Arabidopsis thaliana: one gene and its partners. The protein of the gene in region 2 interacts with the protein of the main gene of each other region in a pairwise test. Each region holds a gene or a part of one and is shown on either strand. Other genes may lie near its edges.

What was found. Proteins that work in one complex are often made in the same cells at the same time.
Region 1: the proteins of SHP2 (region 2) and SHN3 interact in a two-hybrid assay, tested with the Arabidopsis thaliana proteins (one large-scale study listed by BioGRID).
Region 3: the proteins of SHP2 (region 2) and AT2G36930 interact in a two-hybrid assay, tested with the Arabidopsis thaliana proteins (one large-scale study listed by BioGRID).

The regions. Positions count from the first base shown.
Region 1 is NC_003076.8:8,816,414-8,823,966, reverse strand, and holds SHN3 (Integrase-type DNA-binding superfamily protein), read right to left. Parts: upstream 3,510-7,553; 5' UTR 3,331-3,509; coding exon 3,251-3,330; intron 2,716-3,250; coding exon 2,226-2,715; 3' UTR 1,905-2,225; downstream 1-1,904. Other genes in the region: AT5G25400 (Nucleotide-sugar transporter family protein), read right to left, coding at 1-684; CYCA2;1 (cyclin a2;1), read right to left, coding at 6,401-6,460, 6,541-6,675, 6,758-6,907, 6,994-7,027, 7,124-7,200, 7,298-7,373.
Region 2 is NC_003071.7:17,816,562-17,826,169, reverse strand, and holds SHP2 (K-box region and MADS-box transcription factor family protein), read right to left. Parts: upstream 5,916-9,608; 5' UTR 5,744-5,915; intron 5,584-5,743; 5' UTR 5,569-5,583; coding exon 5,342-5,568; intron 3,913-5,341; exon of another isoform or gene 3,286-3,912; coding exon 3,204-3,285; exon of another isoform or gene 3,084-3,203; coding exon 2,922-3,083; exon of another isoform or gene 2,834-2,921; coding exon 2,786-2,833; exon of another isoform or gene 2,682-2,785; coding exon 2,640-2,681; exon of another isoform or gene 2,550-2,639; coding exon 2,364-2,549; 3' UTR 2,157-2,363; downstream 1-2,156. Other genes in the region: HVA22F (HVA22-like protein F), read left to right, coding at 7,869-7,915, 8,014-8,040, 8,118-8,240, 8,332-8,584, 8,684-8,710. UniProt on the Arabidopsis thaliana protein: Probable transcription factor. Interacts genetically with TT16/AGL32 in a partially antagonistic manner during flower development. Is essential for the coordination of cell divisions in ovule, seed coat development and endosperm formation.
Region 3 is NC_003071.7:15,507,994-15,515,198, reverse strand, and holds AT2G36930 (zinc finger (C2H2 type) family protein), read left to right. Parts: upstream 1-3,591; 5' UTR 3,592-3,754; intron 3,755-3,835; 5' UTR 3,836-3,851; coding exon 3,852-4,042; intron 4,043-4,169; coding exon 4,170-4,232; intron 4,233-4,479; coding exon 4,480-4,656; intron 4,657-4,768; coding exon 4,769-4,831; intron 4,832-5,094; coding exon 5,095-5,197; 3' UTR 5,198-5,301; downstream 5,302-7,205. Other genes in the region: AT2G36920 (B3 domain protein), read right to left, coding at 5,711-6,361.

The DNA.
Region 1 (7,553 bases), on a different chromosome or scaffold from region 2:
GGTATCTCTCAAGATCGGAAACTCCACGACAATCCAAGGGATAAACAAGAAAGCTAAGCAGCAAGGAGCAACGTAATAAAGAGAAGTGATAGGATTCAAAGTGATTCCTTTAGAAGTAAGCAAGATCTGAATCATTACCAAACGAGTCGCCTCGAAAGCAACAGCACCAAGCTGGAGAATCACACCCCAAACATCGAATCTAGCTTCGCCATAAGCAGCAATGGCTACACCAAATGAGATCGAAAGCATGTTCATCATCGTCTCAGATTTGAAACCCTCTTTCTTGAAGAGCACGCCAATTGAATAAACGGCGACTGGCATTAACGCTTTGAGCATCTGAATGAAGGAGACCGAGAGGTAAATGTAGGCTGAGTTAGAGAGCCAAAGAGAGAGTGAATACAAGGCTCCGATCGGGACGACGGATCTGAGATAAGTGTCACGTGACATTGAGACCGGTTCGACAAATTTGAAGACCTTGATGAGAAGAAAAGCTAGGGTTGAGCAAAAGGACATGTGGATCATTGTGAGTGAGATCGGGAATGGCCAATCGTACATCTTCTTGTCGAGGATATATTTGTTGTAGACGATGACGGTGAAGCTTAGGAAGATCCATATTGCTACGTATGTGTAGGAGATGATTATGTTCTTAATCACGCCTTCGCTTAGTGATCCACCTTTACCCATATTCGTGATGTTTTTGCCTCTCTTACGACGGTGGTTCTGCGGCGGAGACGGTGGTGTATTCTCCGAAGTTTGTGAATTTTGGTGAGATCCTGAAAAAACGTTTTCAGAGTTTACTAAAAGAGAGAGACTCACACGTAACGGAAGTGATTCACCAATTTATAATTGTTTTCGGTTATAAATAAAATAAAATAAAAAGAATAATAGCGAAATTAATTAAATTTTAAAACGACCAAACCAGTCAAATTCTGAACTAACAAAATGTAATTTAACTCTAAACCAGCCAATATAACTAGTTAAAACTTTATACCTGGTGTTTGTGTCCGTTTTAAGATTTTAAATCATTTTTGAGAAACAATGTTTACATAAATGATATAGTGCGGTTGAATACTAATATTTTTATTCGATATAACATGAATATTTAATTAGTTACATATTTATGTATTTTTAAAACTTATTAGACCTCTCATATAAAATATCTAGAAGACATATATAACAGTATTTATATTTTAAGTATCCAAAAAACAAAAATATTGCCGGTAATCTATATATAATCGTCTCAGTCAAAATAGAATAAAAATAATAAAATAACCCTACCGCATCAAAATATCCAAAATATCAAAATTCGTCAACTTAACCTATTAAATATTTATGTCAAAATAGATGCTCTCCTTATATCTAAACAAGATGTTTAAACATCGACACAAAATATCCAAAATCCAAAGTGTGTCCATGATATGATATCATATATAAACTTGAGATGCTATCTAGACTTGGAAGAGGTTCACTTGATAAAATGTTTCAACTTGAGCTAGTTGATTAATTTTAGCCCGCTTAGATTTATTTACTTGAATCTCTTTTGTTATGTAAGATAATTTACTTAAACTTGTATGTGAAACTAAGTCAAAATCGCCTTTATCACATGCCTAAGTAAAAAATAATCAAATAAAATTGAATATCAAAAATCAGTATTTTAAAATAAAATTCTATAAGAATTGCTCATAAAGTTTATCATGATCGGGACAAGACGGAATAGGACAGGACATGAACTTTACCCAAACCAGGTAAACATGTTAAAATAGTAAAACCTTTCTTAATCTAGGTAGGACTAACATTCGAATCACAAGAATCTGATTCGCAGATGTGTTTAACAAAAGTGGCAAATCTCTTTCACATTTAATGTTCATTATTCTTTATTAAACTAATTAATTATCATCCTACCACTTGTACCTTCATAAGTATCATAATGACTACTATACTAATCTCCTGTAATTATATCATGTCCACAAATTCAATAGAAAATATCAACTACTCTTTAAACAGTAGGCCATATCAGTTTACAAGTCTTAGAATCACAACACATATACTATATTTGAGGAAAAATGTTTACGTATATATACGTACTCATTTCTAGAGCTATCATATATTCATATATATGTTCGAAAATTATATTAATTATTAGCTACACGTAAATTACTTACCCTCGATTATTATTAACCCTCAACTATATTATTATCTTGATCATATAATTCAATGATTCTCCTTTAGACCTGTGCAATGGATCCAGATCCAGGACAGGTCCAGTTAAGCAACTCCTCGATCATCTGCATCGCCATTTGATCATCTTCCTGAACGTCTTCGTTTCGTACCTTCATCTTATTAGTCTCAATATCACCACCGGGACGTGCGTTAACTTTGTCACCTAGTTCAACAAGCTTGACCCAGTTTGGACTCGTTTTTGACCCGGCGCGTTTCTGCCAGACGCCGATGTGTGAGCTGTCGTTGTCGAGGCGGAGACACGTCAGATACGGTGTCTGGTCTTTACAGTTCTTCCTTAGCTTAGCGTTCAATAGTTCCGATAATGATTTGGGAGACCTTAACGCAGAGTTAATCTCCAAGGAATTTGAACCGTTCGATTTGATGACGGGGAAGTTAGTCTTCGCGCTCTGGCCGTTCATTAGAACCGCGGCTTGGTCGTAGGCTCTAGCCGCTGTTTCCGCCGTGTCGAATGTTCCTAGCCACACTCTTCTCTTCCTGATAGCTCACATAAGTTACGTAAGCAAAAAACACACATTTTATTCAAACTTCAAAGTACTAAAACAAACACACAACAAATTTGTTATAAATTGTTACTGATAATAAATTGGGTCGTTTTCTTTTTGAGGAAAGTTTATAGTGAGTAGTGTTCGTTCCTTCCCAATTCTTTGCTATATGATTTTCTATAATCCAACTAAGACATAGAAAATACATCAGTATCAATTATATGACAAAGCATTTAAATTTATGTACACTCAAAATTTCAAAATACAACACAAAAAGTACAAATACTCAACATATGTATATGTTAATAAACGTGGGTTTTTTAATTGGAAAAAAATAAGGAAAACGACTTAAACAAAAATGCATGATATTATAAGAGCTTTGCATGAATCTTCGAAAATATAATCAATGATCAGAAAACTGCCCTACACGTACACCAAAAATGTAAACTTAACTCATAGCATGGACTTGCATAAACAGATTTATACTGTTGTCTCTATTAATAGATAGAGAGGGAGAGAGAACTGACAAGAGAGGATGACGAATCTCAGAAACCCAAGAACCCCACTGACGCTGGCGGACACCTCGGAACTTCTTCGAATGTACCATTCTTCTGTTTTAAATTAGGGTTCTTAATTTCTCTGTGTGTTTCTGACACGAACTAAGAATAGGAGAGAAAGTGAGAGTGGGAGAGAGATTCCTCGTCTCTGATCTTTCTATCTCCAACTACTCACTTAACTCTCTGCTTTTCCCACGTCCTCTCTACTGATATTTATTGTATGTCCCCTATCTCTTCCGTGTCATGGGGTTATTGGATTATATATAGCGTTAGGAAAACTACATGACAAGATAGTCCAAGTACAAATACTAGTTTTGCTACATATAACTAATCCTTTTCCATTTGATCATACTTGTCATTCTACAATGTTAATAATTACCCTACAACGTACAAATACTTGATGTCAGTTCATACCATGCATACAATGGTACCAAGTGATCATATTTCTTATTGCCTATCAATTCGTCTCTTTTCTTCATTAATTATGTGAATATTTGATAAGAAGAAATGTTATTGTTTAAAAATAGATCACGTTTTACTGTTTTAAGTGTTTATCGCTAATGCAAACTATCGAATGGACACTGACCCACAACCAATTACGAAGCCTAGTGGATTTTGGTAACCAAATGCATAAAATCGTACTAAGGTAACTATAATGATGTCCCATGTGTATTCAATTATTCATATACAGTTAAACCTCTATAAATTAATACTCGATAAATTAATAACCTCTATAAATTAATAAATTCTTCCAGTCCCGAGTTGGGATCAGTGTAAAAAGTGACACAAATCGATAAATTAATAAGATAATAACTTTTTAAAAAATCTTATGTAAATATATGGTCCCATCAATATCATAAATTAATAATTTTATAAATATATCAACTATATATACATTATATGTAAGAAATTATTTTGAAATATAATTCTAATATTTTTTTGCTTAAAATTTGTATTTATTCTTATTTAAATTTAGTTATAGTATTTTACTTTATCAAAAACTTTTGGTGTTGTTTTCTAAACATGATATTATTATTTACTTGTAATTGATTTTTGAAAGATATTTTCTATAATGAAAAAAATTTTATAGAAATTTTTGAAAAGTTACTAAATTACGAAAATCTCTCTATAAATTAATAAATATTAATTTATCGATAAATTAAAATCTTTCTAAATTAATAAAATTTTGCAGTCCCAACATTATTAATTTATAGAGGTTTTACTGTAGATGTCTTTCTATTTATAAACCTGTATTAACTCATACTGATTTTTTGTAAAGATTACACTTAATTAGAAGACTGATCACATCCCACACCTCTTGCCGTCGAATTTATTCCGAGTTACATAGCAATTCAAATTAAATGCTATCAAATTTTACTAACAGATAACTTAAACAGTGACGTGAAAACGTCGTCAAAACATATTTCATTCATCTATTTAATTTTCATTGTTTGATTTCTTATAGATCTATTAATTCGACACAAAACAGAGACCTCGATTTCATCTTTTTCGATCATCTACGTTTATGTTACTACCGGTTAAAATTTCTGAGAATAATTAAAATTATAGAAGTGTTTTTACTGATCAATTAATGAAAAGGCTAGAGAATTGTCGGTGCGTCGCGTGGTAAAGTCCACGGATATTTGGAGTAGTTGTTGTCCATTAAATGTTATGAACCTAAAGGAGACAAGAACGAGTTAAACCTTAAGCTTGAATAAATGAATTCACCAACATCTGCTAAACGTACAAAATTAAATTTATAAGTTGAAATGTATATAAGGATGTGACAGCCACATGAATATATAATGGCTCTGATGAATGCAAATGGTACAAGACGATGCAGGATAGGTGCGGTGGTAATCCTTTTGTTTTTCAATATTTAGATGTTTAACAAAGATCAGTTTTTAATTAATGTGTGGTTGACAAAAAAACAAAGATCAGTTTTGAGTCATTTAAAGTTTCTATAACAATTCTAAATTTCATTATATTTTTTAGAGCTAAAATAATTCAATAAACGTTTAATTATATGAATAATAATAAAATATTGGTCTAGAAATTGGTAATTCTCACAAATAGCACATAAATAATTCAAGAATAATTATATGAATTATAATAATAAAAAATTGGTCTAGAAATATGCAATTCTCATAAATAGCATGAAAGTAAGTTTGTTACTAAATTTAACACACAATCTCTAAAACTCTAAAAAAACACAAATTCATAGTAAAAAACTAATATAAAGTTATTAACATTCGATTGACGTTTCACACGATTGTTTGTAAATTAATCGTGATTTCAAATTGTAATTAATTTTGTTAATTTATATAATTATAAAATAGTTACTGAGTAAATTCACTAAAGCTAATTTTACAAATTTGTGGACAATGTTATTTTAATTGTCCATTAAACTTGTTTGAGTGCTATTTTAGGATATTTCTCTATGATATATCGCTCCGTTTATTTACGACAAATATACGTATAATTCATCTTTAGTATGATATTGTGAAAGAAATAATTACTTGTTAATGGAAAGCCAAGTTTTCAACAAATTTTGTCTTTATAGATCTTTGTTTAAATGGGTATCAACTAGGCTTTTCACTCAAGACAGGAAAAGGTTGGCATAAGAGAGAAAACCCAGTTTGTATTGTTTTAGAGAATCTGGTATTGCTTAGGTCGAGTTTCTTGAACAAGAAACAAAAGGTTTTTCATATTTGTTTATTGTGAAGTTTATTTGGGCCCAATGGAATGTAATTACCACTGGAACATCACTTGGTAACCAAAACTAAATAAATATACAATGGCGCATGAACACTTGCTTTTATTAATGAGTCTACAAAAATCTATAACATTTTTTTACTGTGAAGGACAAATCTCAATGAGTCAAAATTGTGTTTTGGTTGATACAATTTTCCATGAGATGGCACTTCTTTGGAAGCACCTGACACTAACAACAGTTACAGGTAAAAGATAGACAGACAACTTACAAGGAAAACTATTCCATAACTGTAGAGACCAAAACTGATGTCTGAAACTAGGATTGATGATCACCTGATACAAACTGCTGAAGCCAGAGAGTTGTGCTGACTTGGTCATATCAGGAGAATCAGAAAATCTGCGGTTTCATCTTGAGAAGAGTGTGTTCACACGTTCAGGAGATGTTAATGTTGCCACTCTTTTAAACTGTCAAATATTCATATAGAGTGAGAGAGACCAAATTCAGATTCAGTGTCCACTTTCTTAGATTGAATTTATTATTATACCTTTTGTTGGTTGTATTTGGTGTGTATAGCGATAAGAGTGCTTCCACTGGTGTTGAGCTGCAACTCCTCCATTGCAAGTACCGTGTTTTTTAGAGCGGATGTTTCATATCTTGTATAGTGTTGTAGAGTTTGGTTCTGTAAGCAATAACATTCACATCACCAAAAATTGTTTCAATGAGGTAAAAACATTCATAATGAGAAATATGAGCTCACTCACCCAAGGATGGTTAGATTGGTCGAGTGTCCATCTTGCTAAGAAAACCGCTGAAGCGGCAATTAGGGATGGAAGGAACCTTAGGAAAGTATATTCTGTGAGAGTTAGTTCCGCGAAATAGTTGGCTAAGTACTCCATTTCAATGAGAGGAACCTGTAAACCAACAAAATCAGTTTACTGATTCCAAGTTATTTCAAATGCTGAGAATGATTAGTGAAATGTATCAATGTAAATCTCACCTTATCAGACGCTTGAGCGGCGCGAATGAACCGCCTGAAACAGAGAAGAAGAAAATGACTTTAGAATGTTTTGAAAACGTTAAAGAGACTATGTTAAGTAATGGTGCATTTTGATGTGTTTAATGATTACCTGAGAAACGTTTTGGTGGTGGGAACTGATAACCGAAAATGAAGAGAGTTTAAAACTTTAATCTCCATACTTAGTACCTGAAAAAATAGTGTATTGTATTTTTTGTTAATCTTTTATTAAGAATGAATCATCTTAGCTGAGAACTGATAGAGATGGAGTCTGCATGTTAATTACTTCTAGTCTTGTGTATGTATTGTCTGTAATGAAGCAAAACTCCTCCAACCGCGGTGCACTAATCTCTTCGTATTTGCTTCAACAAGGAGGAATACCTTAGTTACTTGAGAAGTACTAATCTGTAATTATTAATTTAAGTATATATTCCAGAGTAAAACTTGCTCTAAGTATGCAATGAGAGCAAACATGTGTTCCTCTGTGTCCACTGATTGTTCAGTTTTACTTTCATTGCATTGTGAATGAGGAAACAGTAAAA
Region 2 (9,608 bases):
TTTCAAAAAATTTCTTGATCTTAAATAAGATTTAGTAGTTCCTCTGTTTCTCAATCACTGTTCAAGAATGTCCAAAGAAATGAATCATATGCAAGTTTAACCCGAACAAGAAACTATAGATAGGATCATAAAACATCAATATTGAAAGAGATAACAGATAATTTAATGTATAGACCAAGGTACAGAGAAGTCAAAGTCCAAATCTAGATTAACATGCTCACAGACCAACACATTGTCATAACTGTTGCATTAAATTGTTCATGAGCATTTTTAAAATCATGCCTAAGAGGTGTGTCTATAAAGTGAAAACAACTGGATTAAACTCCAAAAACGACAAGGGCAGGAGAAAGAGAGAGAAGGAGCAAACATTATAGCATTAAAGAAGGAAGGAGTACATATCAAAAGTGTGGTGTTAGTGTAATAAACTCTGTGGAGTAAATATTGCAAGATGGTCTCCATGCATTCAAGTTTCAAACCCCAAGTTCTACCCACCAATGAAAATATCTTTAATGACTCTCTCTATTGGTGTCTGGAATTGCATTCATGATATTAAGTTGGTGTGTCATGGTTATGGAAACACGACATCTTTGGAGGTTGAGAAATATCTCTATCCAAGTTTATCTTCACCCAAGGCTGTTATTTTTTCCTACTTTATGATCTTATGACTGATTCTAACTTTTTAATAATGTCAACAAAATCCATACGAAAAATAATACTAATCCAGAAGTAATCAAACTTTGATCCACTGAATCTGTTTTAGCCATGGAGAGCTTTTTCAGAAGTAATGAAACTTTGAAGTAATTTGAACGAGTAAACTTTTTGAAATTGTGATATATGCTTGTCATGATCAATGTGTGAACAGAGGATGATGATTTATTTGGTTTGTGATGATAGCATTAAGTAGATTTTCTCAAGTTCTAGCTCTGCAGTTATTTTTCTTCAAGAATTTCAACTTTTTTTCCTTGCTAAGTTGGATGCATCGATTGAATATTCTAGGCTTGATTTGTTCATCAGCATGTGGAATTTTCGGAACATAGCTCACTAAGTGGTTTCTTATCATTTTGAATTGAAAGTGTTCTGTTTTCACCTAATCACATTCTATGTTAAGGAAACTAAACTTATTTTTTGGAGACAGTCACCTCAGATTAAGACAGATGCCAGAACACATGTAGCAGTAAACAAAATTTAGCTATGAGAGTTTTCACTAAATCAAACTGATAGGATATGTAGCTTGTTTGGTTGCTCTCTTGCAGTAAAAGTTAGGTCAAGACACTATGACAGGTTTTGGCCGTTATACTATAAATCATGGTGAGAAATGCATGAATGTATTAAGTCTTGCAGAAAGCTTGGGAGGAGCTGCTGACAATGGAATTGAGGAAGAAAAGTCTCGTTGAATTCATTAGAAAATGGTACATCTCTTAGCTCCATTTGTTTTCAAATATCTTCTGCCATTTCTGTTGTTGCAGGTTTTCGACGCAGAATGAGAATGATTAAAGGTCAAGGGTTCTAAAATCCAAAAACATTATGACACAAAGTTCTACTAATAGTTCCATCTTATGATGCAGCATGATGTCCTTTCATAGTTTTAGGTACTGGTAAAGCTGTGGATGTAGAGACTATCAATTTCTCACATCAAGCTTCCTTCTTGATACAGTCTCATATACTGCAGAGTGTTAATACAGGAACTTCTACAAGCAGGATTTATTGCTGTTGAAGATCTTACACATCTTCTTGTCCCTCTATGACATGACGCTGGGACTAAGATCCTGATCCACTGAACTTTAGCAAGACTCTCAAATTCACAAGGGTTTTCATTTCAGTTGCCTTGTCTTAGTAAACCTGAGGTACCATCTACGATCTCTTTCTTGTAAATTTATGCATTACCTTAGAAAGTGAAAAATCCTGAGCTGATTTAGAAGGATAAAGAGACTATATCCTCTGCAGTTTGAAAACAAAAGGGGGAAAAAGGTTTGGCCTATATATATCGCTTATATCTTCCATGTCCATGATTTAGAATTTAGAAAGATCTTAATTAGATGTAACTTGGGATCTATCTATGCATATGCAGCTTTTGCATCTCAAACTGCATCTCAATAGTCTTGTTGAAATTGCATATGCTTTTTTTACGTCACATCAACACATTTTGATTTGAATATGCAACACTAACTAGCAATAAATCCCATTTTATTTTTGGATCTCTTGTCTTAGCCTTAACTTACATAATCAAGATATATGTAAATTATTAGGTCCCTCTCAAATCGTTACCATCTGCATTTTAAGTTTTTTGACAGTAAGTGTAACATGAATATATATATGCATAAGATCGATCTCAGGCTGAGGAAAGAAGCTTATGTTAGACTGAATCAAACAAGTTGCAGAGGTGGTTGGTCTTGGTTGGAGGAATTCTGATTCGGTTCAAGAAGGTTAACCGCAATATAATTCCGGTTATACTGCCCCGACTGGTGAGAAGAAGTAACACCCGACTCGTAAACTGTCCCTTGATGTATCACACTCGATTCTTGTTGCTGTAGACCTGTTCTTTCAGTAATCTGCAGAGATATTTAGAATTTGCACATCAAGAGATTGTCTACCGGAAAAAAATGATGATCAAAAATGCCAAAAAGAGTTATGTATAAAACCTTGGAGCGGAGATACATGTTATCGTTTTGCAGCTCGATTTCCTACAATGCAAGCGACAACAGAAAATAAAAAAAGATGATCATCAGAAAGAGAAGTTGCTAATAAAGTAGGGGGTAAGTTACTTGTGAAGGAAGATAGGTTTTACTTTTACCCTTTTTTGCATGTATTCAATCTCTGCAACTAACATCTCGTGCTGGAGAGAAAAACCAAATATAACGGGCAAGAATCAGATGGATATATATTCAATGATAAGGAGATTGATGGAGAGTTAGTGATTGTACCTTCTTGGATCGGACACGACTGATTCCTTTCTCAAGCCTACTTTCAAGGTTCTTGAGTTCCTTAAAGTTCAAGGAACCAAGAGATTCACCAAGAATGTGTCTGTTCAAATTCTGAATGTCCCGAATCTGTCTCCGGAGTTTAGACGCCTCTTGCTGATAGTACTTCATCAATTTCGATCCCATCATTGTTACAAGAGGTGAAAAAAAGGTCAGATAACTAAAAGAAGAAGAAATTAAGTAATTAACGAACTAGCTAGCTAGGTGTATTAATTAAAAGCTAACCTGAGTATTAGCTTCGGTGATGGTCGGAGGGTTAACGGCGTCGGAGCAAGCTTTCTTGTACCTTTCTATTGTTCCTCTCACACTTCATCAACATTCACACAAAGGAAAAGATTTTAAAATGCAATCTTTTTTGTGGTAGCTATATATGTAAATAGATGCAATCGGTGAAAATCTCAAACTTAAACCACCACAAGTAAAACAAAGACACACGAAACTATAACTGTTGGATTCAAACACTAAAACCAGAAGAGAAAAAAATATATATATATGAAGTCGTTAAAGAAATTGATATTTTTATCTTCTGGATATACAAAACACACAGAAAGACGGATATTAAGGTTTTGAAAATAAAGTTTTGTCCGCCCAAAACCTTAAATTCAACCGACAAAATAGTGAATGGACCAGTACCATATAGTATATGATTTGTTTGCCCTTCTTTTTTTGGGATATTATTGTTATTGCCTATTATCTATTAACAGTGACATCTCACAAAGTTATATATATATATATATATGTATAATCAAAGTTCGAGAAGACCCTAATGTGTACTTCCCCAAAAAAGTGTAATCCTAATTTGAAAACATACAAAAGAAAGAAGTAGCAAATCGGAGAAGAAAATAAAAAGAATTTGAATTGCATATGCTCTTAGTTAATTGGAATTGGTCCCAATTTATGTACGACACAAAATCCAAATTATATTTTAGGCTAGTATATATTTTGGCCTAATTAGATTAAAAAATTCACTACTAGGCTTTAAGAAAAAGAAGTGATTTTCAGGTCAAGTCAATAGATTCCCTACTCTAGAAGCTAATTTTGCTTCTTCATTTGTTTTTCCTGAATTAATATTTGAACATTACATTTACATGCATATGTGGCTGAGGCAAGTATGTTTTTACCAAGAACATGATATTTGTAAATCTTTTGCAAAACAGAAAAAGAAAAGCTAGAAATCTTTGCATAACGTTATGCTTTCATATTCATATACAAGTAATTTACATTGTGCTGTTGTATAATGGAAAGCTGAAGTTGAGAAATGTCAAAAGTAAGATACTACTAAAGCATGAGGGTGTTTGAAATAAGAAAGTTAACTACACTTTTGATAATAGAAACATATATATATCACATGTTTCTACATACATAATGCATTCCTCTTTTGTTAATCAAATTAGTCATGTCCATTATAAACTTCAGATCAGTTCTTTAGTCGTTGTGAAAGTTCACATTGAAACTACAAATTTACTAGTTTTAACTTAGATCCATGATATGAGACTTGACTTATAGATTATAGTCATACATCAACCTCAATTATAGTATTAACTAGCCAAGCAAATAAAAACAATATTTTTGAAAACATTTATCTTTAAAAAGCAGACAAATAATCAAAATGGTGAAATGAACATGAGCTGTTAATAGCTGGAAACGTATAGAAAAACGGAAATGACAAGTCCCCAACTTGAAGTGGAGAAAATAACAATCAAAAATCAAAATTTTCTGTTTCGTTATTTTTCTTGATTGATGGATCGGATGATTAATTAAGTGACTCAACAATAAGCTTTGTCCCTGATTCATTTTCTTGATTTAACAAAAGGATTCACCAAAAGATTAGAGAAGTGTCAGAAGACAAACACCTACTAGTCTCTCCCTAGTGAATCAATTTTGAAGGAATCTACATAGCTTTTTTATATAGCCAAATAATATATATTATTATAATTTTATCAAGAACCCTACTTTTTCATTACTATGATGGAAACCTAATGATCAATCTGCAGAAATAAAACTTGATGGGTCATCAAATTGATCGAAGTGTCTTGTACAAACTGACATAAATAGATACATATATAGATACTGTTATAAGGATTTGTGGAGAAAAAGTGACTGGAACAAGGTATGGGGGATGCTAATTAATGATCAGAGAAGACCCTCACTGCTTTTTTACTAAGAGAAAGAAGTTAAAGTAGGGTTCCCTAGTTTTAAACAAACCCTAATTTTGGGGATTTTTAAAGAGATTTGAGCTTCAGAGAAACTAAGGAAAAAAACTATAAAGAGACCATAAAGATTGAAAAACCCACCAGAAGAGTCGAAACTTTATTCTAGAAAAAAAATTCAAGAAAATCAAGATCTAGCTAAAAGATGTGTACCTGTTGTTGGCGTACTCGTAGAGACGGCCTCGAGTGGAGAAGATGACAAGAGCAACCTCAGCGTCACACAAGACAGAGAGCTCATAAGCTTTCTTGAGTAAACCATTGCGTCGTTTGCAGAAAGTGACTTGACGATTCGTAGTGTTCTCTATCCTCTTTATCTCTATCTTCCCTCTCCCTATCTTCTTGCTGCTCTCTGCTACTTCATTACTCGCACCACCCTCCATTTCTATAAGCCCTAGCTGAAGTATAAACACAAGAGAAATAGATCAAATCCTTTTGCACTCAAACACCTTGGATTAAAAGAAATGGTTTATAAGGATTAACTGAAGAACCCTAATAATTTGATTGGAGAAAAGGAAGAAACTTTTAAAAAAAAGTGTAAATCATCAATAACCATACCTGGCTTAGCAAGATTAATTATGATCAGAAAGAAAGAGAAGTGAGGATGGGAAGATGAATTATGAGAGAGTTAATTTGTTCATTGGCCTAAAGATACTATTCTTATTATCTCAGTACCACTTAACTGCTGCTTCAACTTTATTTTTTGTTTTTGGTTTCTGTTTTGGTTTATAATTTCTTTTAGAGGAATATTTCTTTGGAAGTATTTAAAAACCCATTTGCAGAAAACAGAAGGTTTGGTAGTTTTTTTTCAAACTGAAGTGTTATAGAAGGAAAAAGAAAGAAAGAACATGGACCATTACTTCTAACATTTTCTCAAATATCACACACCTAATTCTTTTAATTAAATTCTATATGCATACATTTAGATTGAAATTTGAAATTGATTGGAATTAAGTGGTAGAAAATATCAAATTAGAAAGAAGAAAAAAGAAAGAAAGAAGACAGTTGGGTTTGGATTGGGTGGGGAGAGAGCATTGAAGGAGGACCATCCAATTTTTCTTTCATGTTTAGAGGAAAAAAGAGAGGTATGGGCTCTGTTTCTCATCAGAATCACCTTTTGGAAACTTTCCTTTTTTGGTAATCCCTTTTTATTCTCCTTTTCTTTTTATTGCCCTACTCCTATATACATTGCATGTCGTTAATATTTACCTGGCATTTTATATATAAAAAAAATATTTCCAATTAAACCAATATTTAGCTAATATGCTAAGAATTTGGGTGGTTTATATGAGTGTTCGTCGTCAACGTTAGAATGGGGTTATATGAATATGAGTGTTATAACTTGTCAACTACCAAGCGAGACAATGAATAAGATTTCAGTGTTCTTGCCAATTAAAAAAAACTGTAAATAGTATATATTATTATTTGGTTGTGTTCAGAAATGGCAATTTAAGAGTATATATTATAACTGGTTTAGTTTTTCCAAAATTCTTATGTTCAAGTCTTAATCTTGGACATTAGGTTAGTCCAACGGCAATTTGAATATTTATTTTGATAATTAATTACATCATATTACGTAATTTAGACAAAAGAACTACATCATATATGCGACAATATAATTAGAGAAGATGAAACTAATAAAGTAAATGAAAGCAGAGAGCCCACGGGGAATGACTAATCATGTGTGTAGTCATTATCCATGAACCCTTTCTCAGATTTGCATTAATTAATTGTAGTTACGAAAGGAAACTCTTTTGTGTTTTGCCCATTCCTCATCATTTTCATTGTACTTCTATTCAATTTTCTTAACGAGCAACACACATTTTCACATTCATGTCGAATTAATTAAGTTGGAAATTCTGCAAAATCATTTCAAGAAAGAACTTGATGAGAGCTGGTAGGTCTTTTGATTGACTTTCGTGGTCTATATTCTCAATATATAGTATATGCTTTGAAAGTTGAATATGCACTAGTTCTTGTTGTGTTAAGAGTTAATTAGCGTGAAGTAATATAATTCTCATATCGAGTGTTTAATTTACTAGCTTTATGACAAAATAATCATAATCAAATAGAATACTAATGAAGAAAAAGGTAATATATATATGTAAGAAAGATGAATTATGTAAAGATTGCTTTTACTAGCCCTGTGACAAAAAATGTTAAATCTTTATCAAATTGAACGATGATTGATAATTGAAATTTAATTTTAATGAAAAGAAGTAGTATATAAATGGGTAAGAAAGAGAGATTTCCAAATTAAAGGACAGGTGATTTTTACTCAAGTATCATAATCAAATTGTGTATACGTCCAATCTCATTAATTAGTGCATAAGTTATTGATCACTAACTCTTGTGAAAAAGAAAAGAATCTTTTGTTTTGACGAAAACATATTCCAAATACCATTCATAGGGATACTAAACCCAAGACTTTGGATTTCCCTTCATCAGAAATTTTCCAACGTTTACTTTGAGATATTTTTTTTCTTCTTAGAACATATAATAAATAGGTTCATGAAAACGTAACAATGCGTTGGAGATTCTTTACCTGGCTTGTTGCCTTAACTCCCACAAAGATTCTTTTGCTTGAAGAAATTTCAAGCTTTTGTGTATATATCCAACGTCACAGTGCTAAAGACGTTTGAGAAAGTTTCTGTTGAAAGAAGAGTAAAAACTCAAAAAGAAAATGGGTTTCATTATTGCGATTGCAAAACGTTTTGATGCTCTAGTTGGGTAGGATTTTATTCAAATTCTGTCTCATATAATAAAAATAAACACTATATTTGTCAAATTTTTAACATTATTTTCTTCCTTTTTCTTGTTGCATGCAGGCCTGGAGTCATGCTTCTCTATCCTCTGTAAGTGATATCAAATCTGAATTTAAATGTTTGGTTTTTACAAATGCAACTTGATAGTTAACTGAATAAATGATTAGGTATGCATCATTTCGAGCAATAGAGAGTCCAACAATGTTAGATGATCAACAATGGCTTACATATTGGATCATTTACTCTTTAATAACGATATTCGAGCTATCCGTTTGGAGAGTCCTTGCCTGGTAATTACAATATTATTCACTAAATTCTGTTACGAATTCAAAAATTTATGCCTATAAAGACAAAAAAATGGTGTTCTTTTGCATATTGTAGGCTACCATTTTGGCCATACTTGAAGCTTTTGTTCTGTATGTGGTTGGTGCTACCAATGTTCAGTGGTGCAGCTTACATTTACTCCAATTTTGTTAGACAATACGTCAAAATTGGGATGAATGTTGGAGGAGGAACGAATTATACAGACGAACAAAGAAGAGTTTTACAGATGATGAGTCTTGATGCTAGAAAATCGGTTCAAGACTACGTTGACCGGTTTGGATGGGATTCTGTTGAGAAAGCAATCAAAGCGGTATATGATTTCTCTTGTTGATCTTTAATATAGTTATGTATATATAATCCAATACATATATTCTGGGAGTTTAACTTCATTATTTGTGTTCAAATGTAGGCTGAAAAAGAAACTAGAAAGCATTGAGATGGAAGATCAAGAGTCAAGAAAAACATTACTCTTTGGTTTGTACATGTATGTACATAGATTGTATAGAGCAATACTATAATGAAAAAGATATATATGTTTGAAAGATTTATGGTGACAAATTTGTGTTCTAGTACTCTATGACCAAAGATACTATTAGAGAAGCCAGTCCAACTCTTTTTGACAACATACATTTGGATGGGTCTCAATTTGATTAAACAAAACATCAGGACACGATTCGAATTAAAATGAGAATACAACACTCTTTTTGACATAAAAATAAAAATAAAATTCAAGCTCGCGCTATATCACAATTGGTGTTTTGCTAATTTCCTAAATCTAATTTTATTCTAATTTAATTATGTAAAATAATAAAATCACATCTTTGGAAGTTTTTAAATGTAATTCATATAACGACAAAAAAAATGTAATTCATATGACGTAAAAAAAATGTGATTAATTTTGTTAGGGTCATTAATCTATATTCTATACTTTAATACTCTGAGATCCGTGATTATTATTATTTGTCCATCTCTATCCACAAACCATACATAAAAAATTGATATATGACGTCAGAAAAAGATAATACAAGTCTACATATCTCTTCGTCCATTTATTTAATTTAATTGGTAAAGAATTGAGTGCGCAAAATTAATAATTTCCAATTTATCAAAAAAAAACACATTAATAATTTTATTTTTTATTTTGTTCAACTTAAAAAAAGAAAAGAACACACATTAATAATTTCCAAAAACCCCTCTTTTCTCATAGATTGAAGCGTATACTCTAATTTGACCAATCTAATCTAGGGTTTCTAGTCACTTGAAGCTTCTCTTAAAAAACCTGTCTCACTCCTCGTCAACCTCTTCCTCTCCCGCTGTCGCCAAGATTGAATCTT
Region 3 (7,205 bases), 2.3 Mb from region 2:
GATATATTTTTAAGGATTTTTATTTTTTGTATTTAATAGGACGAAGAATTGTTTGAACGAGAGTAAGTGGAGGCAAATGTGTGTATTTATAGAAGAAGAAGGAATGCGTGAAGGTTATTATTTTACTATATTATCGATACTGATTTTTTACTGAATATTATATGGTTTGATATTACATGTTCATTTCCGTATGTGTGTATTTGTTGGGGGCTGAGGTCAGCGAGAGTGGGCGTTTGACGCCGGTTTGACACAAGTGATGGTACGAGACACGAAGGCACCAAGTTTCTGAACAACATTACTTTAATCATCCGTGGATAATATTAAAAACAAAAATTGTTTGTGACGCAAATAGTTGATCAAGTTTAATGATTTCTTAAAGGTAACATTGCTTTTGAAAACAAAAAGAGCATCATTTCTCAGCTTTGACTACTTGATGACTTGAGTCTAGATTAGCAGAATCTTATATCAGTTTAAGGTAAAAATACATTCGACCAATTGTCACAATTCAAAGAATATACATCCTATACCTTATCAGAAACAAACTTTAGTTAGAAGATTTCATGGCCTTAAATACGAAATCAAATCATTTTATGAAGTCCGGTAATTCGTTTATTATTACAAGTTCATATAGGAAGAAAAGTGATGTTTTAATCAAATCATTTTTGTATTTTTGAATCACATCATTTTTGAAATTTTATCAATAAAAAAGAATTTGTAAAGAGATTAAAGATAAAGATAGATTCTTTTTCTTCTGATAAATGTGTATTGGTTAAAGTCATGATTGTGCAAATTGCATAGTCTTTTCTCATTGTAAGTGAAGTTGATGGAACCTCCTCTTCTCTTCTCTTTTATGTTTTATATTATTTAAAAAATTCATTTTAAGAAGTGATTTACTACAATTGATTCAAAAAAAAATCTTCTAACAGATTTCCCAAAAAGTTTTAGATATTTTGTTGTATTTTTAGGAAAAGAAACCAAAATTTATGATATTAAAATACCACATGTTATATTATATGATCCAATAAACGCATATTAAGATCAGATCAAAACTTTAAAATACAAGCTATACGAGAAGTCGCACATGGTTTTAATCTGTCAAGTAGTTTGACCGATTAATATATTTGATACTAGTACATAGAAGAATTCGAGACATGTGTGTGTAATGTACATATATTACTAAATTAACATCAACAAAAATGTGTATCATATATCTGAACAATTTTTTAAAAAATTGTATATGTTTTCGAGTATCAAGAATGTAATTTCACGTTTCGTTGTAATACACTATTCGTATCACTATCACCTACTGGCATACACTACTTTACATAATTCGTTCAGCACCAATAGCTTATATAATTATTTTTTAAATTCTTGCATAAATCAAAAGAATTTTGCTCTCCTAAAGAGCACAATTAGTGATTTTAATTAAATGATTACTTTGGTTTTGTTAGTTTCAGCTTCATGGAAACAGCCAAGAACCGCCTATCTACAAAAAACATGGGCTGCGGTATAGAGATAGAGACAAGAGGAATTGCAATATTAACTCACTGAGTTTTTACTTTTCTTTGAATGCTAACATATTGGGTTCGCTGTGTGAAAATTGAATTTTATCTGAAAATCTTTCAACTGCATAAACAGTAAAAGGATAAGAAAAGTTAAAAAAAAAAAATGTCCCAAGGGTTGCGTAATTGCGTTTCGTTCCTCCTTTCACCGGTCCATTTTGTCAACATCATGTTTCATTGTGTTTTGTTGATTTTTTTTGGTCATATGGTCCTATGAGTGACGTAATACATGAGGTGGACACATATTATTATATACACATGAAATATAGAGTTTGATTGAGAACTTTCTTGTCTATTATCTAAAATCTTTCGTAAAGTTAACGATCACAATGACCACAAACTTCAACGTACGTAAGTTTGTGTTTGTATTTTGAAAATCGATGTTTGGATCTTTTGAAACGTTTTGTTCAGTAATTTGGAAGTTTAGGGTAGAAATGGTCACTTATTATATGTAGCTAAATACGATTTCAACACATACAAACTACAAAGATTTGTTTTCGTGTTCCACAGTGTAACACGTCAGGCTGACTTGGATAATTTTAACTAACTTTACCAAGGTTAATATAAAACATAATCACTAATTGCAACATAAATAGACCATTTTAATTTCAGGTTGCAATTAGAGATTATGGTATACACAGCCACACAAAATCAAGAAAAATATGGCAACAGAAAATCGTCTCGTTTCAACCCTTTAAGTAGTTTCATCCATCCATATGGTGCCATTTTAAGTACACATGCAAGTCACCATTTTTCCTCATATTTTTTTGGCAAGTCTCATTGCTCGCCTCTCGTTGTAGCTTACAAAAATGACCATTCAATATGGTTATAAACCATCTTCATGCGACTGGCAAAAAAAAAAAAAAAAAAAAACCATCTTCATGCATGTCAGTTTTTTGTTGCTAGAAAGTTCGCCGTACATATTTGTCTCTCATGTAAAGGTGAAAATGGCTGTAACATGGATTAAACTATTAAAGATTCATTTTATGAAATATAATTTCCATTCATTTTGCTAGGAAATAATGAGGAAAGAACAAATTAAAAGAAATTTGTGTTCATCACAAAACGATAGCAATGTTTACGGAATGGAACCTAAAAGTAAACTACAGTTAGAAAGTGAAAGAAAATAAGATAATCAAAATGATATACAGTAACTTGGTCTTAGGAGTCTAAAGAGTAAAATCTATCTGATAATTAAGACAACATGAAAAAGATGGGCTATAGAAACGTTTTGAAATCAAGTTTAGTGGGGGCAGAGACAAAGTAGAACCAACTCATCAAGAACTCAATTTTAAACATCTAAATGGATCTCCATGCAACATTATTACACTAATAAATAATATGAAAAGTTTGGATTTGGTACCGGTCTGTTTCACTATCATTGTTACAATTATTGTATTCCTCGGCAGGAGCACCTTAGTTTATTAGAACAATTAGACCCCATTGACGAACCAATATGGTGTAGAAGTATCTGGAAAGAAAAAAGGAACGTCCCACATTTCAAACAAATCTTGCTAACCACGTATTATCTAGCTGGAGGAATGAGAATGACACATTGTCCTTGCTCTAGATGTAAATCCACATAACATAAGTAGGATCGGTTCTATTAAAACATTAATTGGAAAGCATTTCAAACTCGGGATAGTAAGTGTGGTGGAGACATGACGTATTGGTGACAAAAAAAATTATAGAGAGAAGAAACAAGCTTCAAACCCTCCCCAAGACAACAAAACCATCATTGTGGGGAGCATTAAGAGTATGCAACGCAAAGAGGCCTTTCATTCCCTTGCTCTCTCCACTTCTAAGAATTTATTGGTTTCTTGTTATACTAATAAATTAATGGAACCCTAAAAACAAGGTTATGAGATTTATCAGTAAACCTACGCTTCTGTCACTAATTCGGTCCAAGTACATTGCTAGAACTCTGTGACTTATCTTACAATGCTATTTCAGAATAATTTCAGACTAGATCTTAATTGGTTCCGTATGTATTACTGATTTCCAAATCATTAATTATTAATGGGCCTATCTAAGCCTGTTTAATAAATGGGCCTTGCGTCAAAGTCTCCATCACTGAAACCGCCCTTTTTAGGTTAATCAATACTTTATAACCGAAACTGATATTTTTTCTAGGGTTTCCTCTTCCGCATTCGTCGTCTTCAGCTCCTCCTACACAGTTTCTTCTCTGAATCGTAAGTTTTGAATTAATCTGCAAATTCGTTTAGATTCTTATCAATTAGTCACTAATTTTTCAATTGATGATTCGATCTCAGTACTTAGGAAGCTAAAATGGGTAGATGTCCGACTAGAAAAGTGAAGAAGAGGAGATTATCTCACAAAACAGCTCGCCGTGACAAATTCGAAGTCAAAGGCGATGACTTGGTTTACACAGAGTTGCGTAAACCGGAGACGGAGATTAAGCCGTTACAGCTTGACGAGGATTTGCCTGGAATGGGTCAATTCTACTGCTTACACTGCGAGTAAGAGAGATTCTATGATTACTCTATTGACGATTCTTTTGGTTTATGAAACTTTTTTTTAGCAAATACATTATCTTTGAATTACTCTATATGACCCATTTGTTTGTTTTACCTTGATATGTTTTAGTCGATACTTCTCCAACGTATCAGTGAGGGATGATCATTTCAAGACTAAGAAACACAAGAAGCGGTATGTGGATTCTTCTCCTTCCTTGGCCTTGGTTTCTATTTTGTTTTGTGTTCTTGGAACTGTGTTTGGTTCTTGTGCTCGTTTACTTTCTTGCTTGCAATGTTAAAGCTATTTCTCTTCACTTCTGTGTACCTAAAGATGTTTTAGCATTTGTAATTTGATTACCTTTGTATGATTATACATGTCTGTTGCAGTGTTGCTCTGTACTCAAGACTTATTATATGTGTTTTGTCCACTTGGATTGCAGTGTGAATATGATGATGGGACAAGCGCCACACTCGCAACTCGATGCAGATTTAGCCGGGGGAATGGGGATGCCGGACAATGGCCCAAAGCTGATGTCTAATTTGGTATTCACAGAGTTGCGTAAACCAGAGACGGAGGATTTACCTGGAATGGGTCAATTCAACTGCTTACTCTGCCAGTAAGATTATATGTGCAAAAAGACAATCTTTGAATTACTCTAGATTTCCATGTTTGTGTGAACATTTGTTTGTATTTGATTGACCTTGTCTCTCTACCTTGATATTTTTCAGTCGGAACTTCTCCAATGCATCAGTGATGGATTATCATTTCAAGACTAAGAAACACAAAAAGCGGTATGTGGATTCTTCTTCCTTGGTCTTGGTTTCTATCTTGTTTTGATCTTGGAACTGTGTTTGGTTCTTGTGCTCGTCTACTTTGAATTCATCTTGCTGGCAATGTTAAAGCTATTTCTCGTCACTGGCGTAGCTAAAAATGTTTTAGCACTTGTAACTTGATTACCTCTGTATGATTATATTATTGATCTATGCATGTCTGTTGCTCTGTACTCAGACTTAATATCTTTCTATTGTCCATTTGGATTTTTGTGTGATTGCAGTGTGAAGAAGATAGAGCGACCAGCGCCACACTCGCAACTCGATGCAGATTTAGCTGGTGGAATGGGAATGCCAGACAATGGTCCAAAGCTGATGTCTGCCTGAGTTTTTACAGTTATTTTCCTTATTTAGTTAATGGAACCCGAAATTTTGTTGTAAAACTATAATCTCCTAAATTAATGATACAGGTTTTTTGTCTGTTGCCAAGTATCTATCATGCAGTTACTGGTTTAGCTTCACTTAGAAGTTTAAATCTGATAAATCATATATTGTTTGTGTTGGTTGCATAAAAAACTTAACCATATAAGCCATACCAATCGTTGTTTTGACAAAATAGAAAGAACAAAACACTAGCTCTCTCAGCTGCTGATATGCGTTTGTAATTGAGATCACATTATGCAGACCTTGTTCTCTTCCGGGGAACTATTGCCTTTCCACGAGCAATCACGCCAAAGTGAAGCCTAGAAGCAGAAGAATCCCATAAGAGTCCTATATCGTCTCTTTCTTTCAAACTTCTCCTTTTGGATAAAATCTTCCAGCCAGTCACCCGTTAGAACATAGGTATATTGTACTGCCAGACGCAGCTCATGCATTGTGCTCGTGTCGTTGTCCTATACCTTAACAATGAGTCCGCTTTTGCAAATCAGCTTCAGGCAGATGTCCTCGAATCTGCTGTTCGAAGAAGCTTCTGGGCAGACGAAGTTGGCCATAAGTAGGGTTAACATTATGCTCGGTCAGTCTCTTCTTGATGGTCCATTGAGGTGCGTTGTTGACAAGTCTAGGGATAGGCATCATCGTAATCTCTATTCCATCTCTTGCTACCTTCAATATGGATTCAATGCTCCCAAAACAACGAAGAGAAATGTTACTTGGGTCTCCCAAAGTGTCAGAATTGTTTGTGCCATGTTCTTCACCTGAAACGGTAAAAGAACATAACATCGACTCTGTTGATAAAAAGGCACAACCACAAGAACCTCCTCCGAAATGGAAAGGATTTAGCAGGTTTTCAGTGTTCATGGTGATGTCATTACTTTCGAAGTAGTTTTGGTTTTTCGAGAATGGACCATGTCGACTGTTAAAGGCTTCTTTGTCTCTGTTCATCGGAGAAACAGAGGAGCAAGACGTTTCAAACGGTTCTTGGCTCATAATTTGCTTCTCTGTTACCTTGGATGACAAGAAAGACAAATCTTGAGGGCGCTCTCGTGGTTCTTGACTCGTACGAGCTCGATTCTTTTCCGATGGAGATGTACAATCGTCTGAGAATGACATTCTCGTTTCGCGATTTCTTCTTCGTCTAAGAGAGTTATCGTTATAACGATTTCACAGAGATACTGTATGAGGGACTAATGAGACCGCAAGTGATGATATATATATATATATATATATATATATATATATATATATATATATATATATATATATTATTCGCAAAGGCTAATCCAAAATGTTGGCAAGGATTCAAATAAAAGAGTGATAACATTTTGAGAAAACCCCGCCGCTAAGGCATCCACCAAGAAATTCTAAATTAAGTGTTACACAGACAAGAGACACTCAAAGTGATCGGGAAAAGTATGCAGGCCCTCTAGTGTTTTGTTTCCAAGCCCATAACGGAGCCTAAATTCATCATCCGCAACACCTTGATAAATGACTCTTCTAACGCTGTTCCTCTTTGGATTAGGAATAGGCGTAATAGACTTGAATATCAAACGGATCGAGGTGCAAATCTCATCTTGATCTATACCATTTCTCTGCTTGCGCATGTTTTATCTTCAGAGCTTTTCTTATGTCCCACTCCCAGTATCCATCTGTTGCATATCTTTTCATTATTTTTAATTTGCATTTTCACGGTGTTCACAAAAATATAATCTAATCTTACAAAAAAAATCTTGCGTTGATTTGTAAAAGTTATAAATGTAGTTCAAGTTCCAGTATCCATGCTACTTTACATAAAAAAAAAATAAGAGTAAAAAAACCTTGGTGACATTGTTAAACTTTTATTAATAGAAAGTGGGGAATTCCAGTACTGTAGCTTAAATTATTGGCCTTCTATGAATTTCTCAATTAGTGAACGACATGTGCCGAGAGGAGCTAGTGCTTCTTCTTCTCCACCACT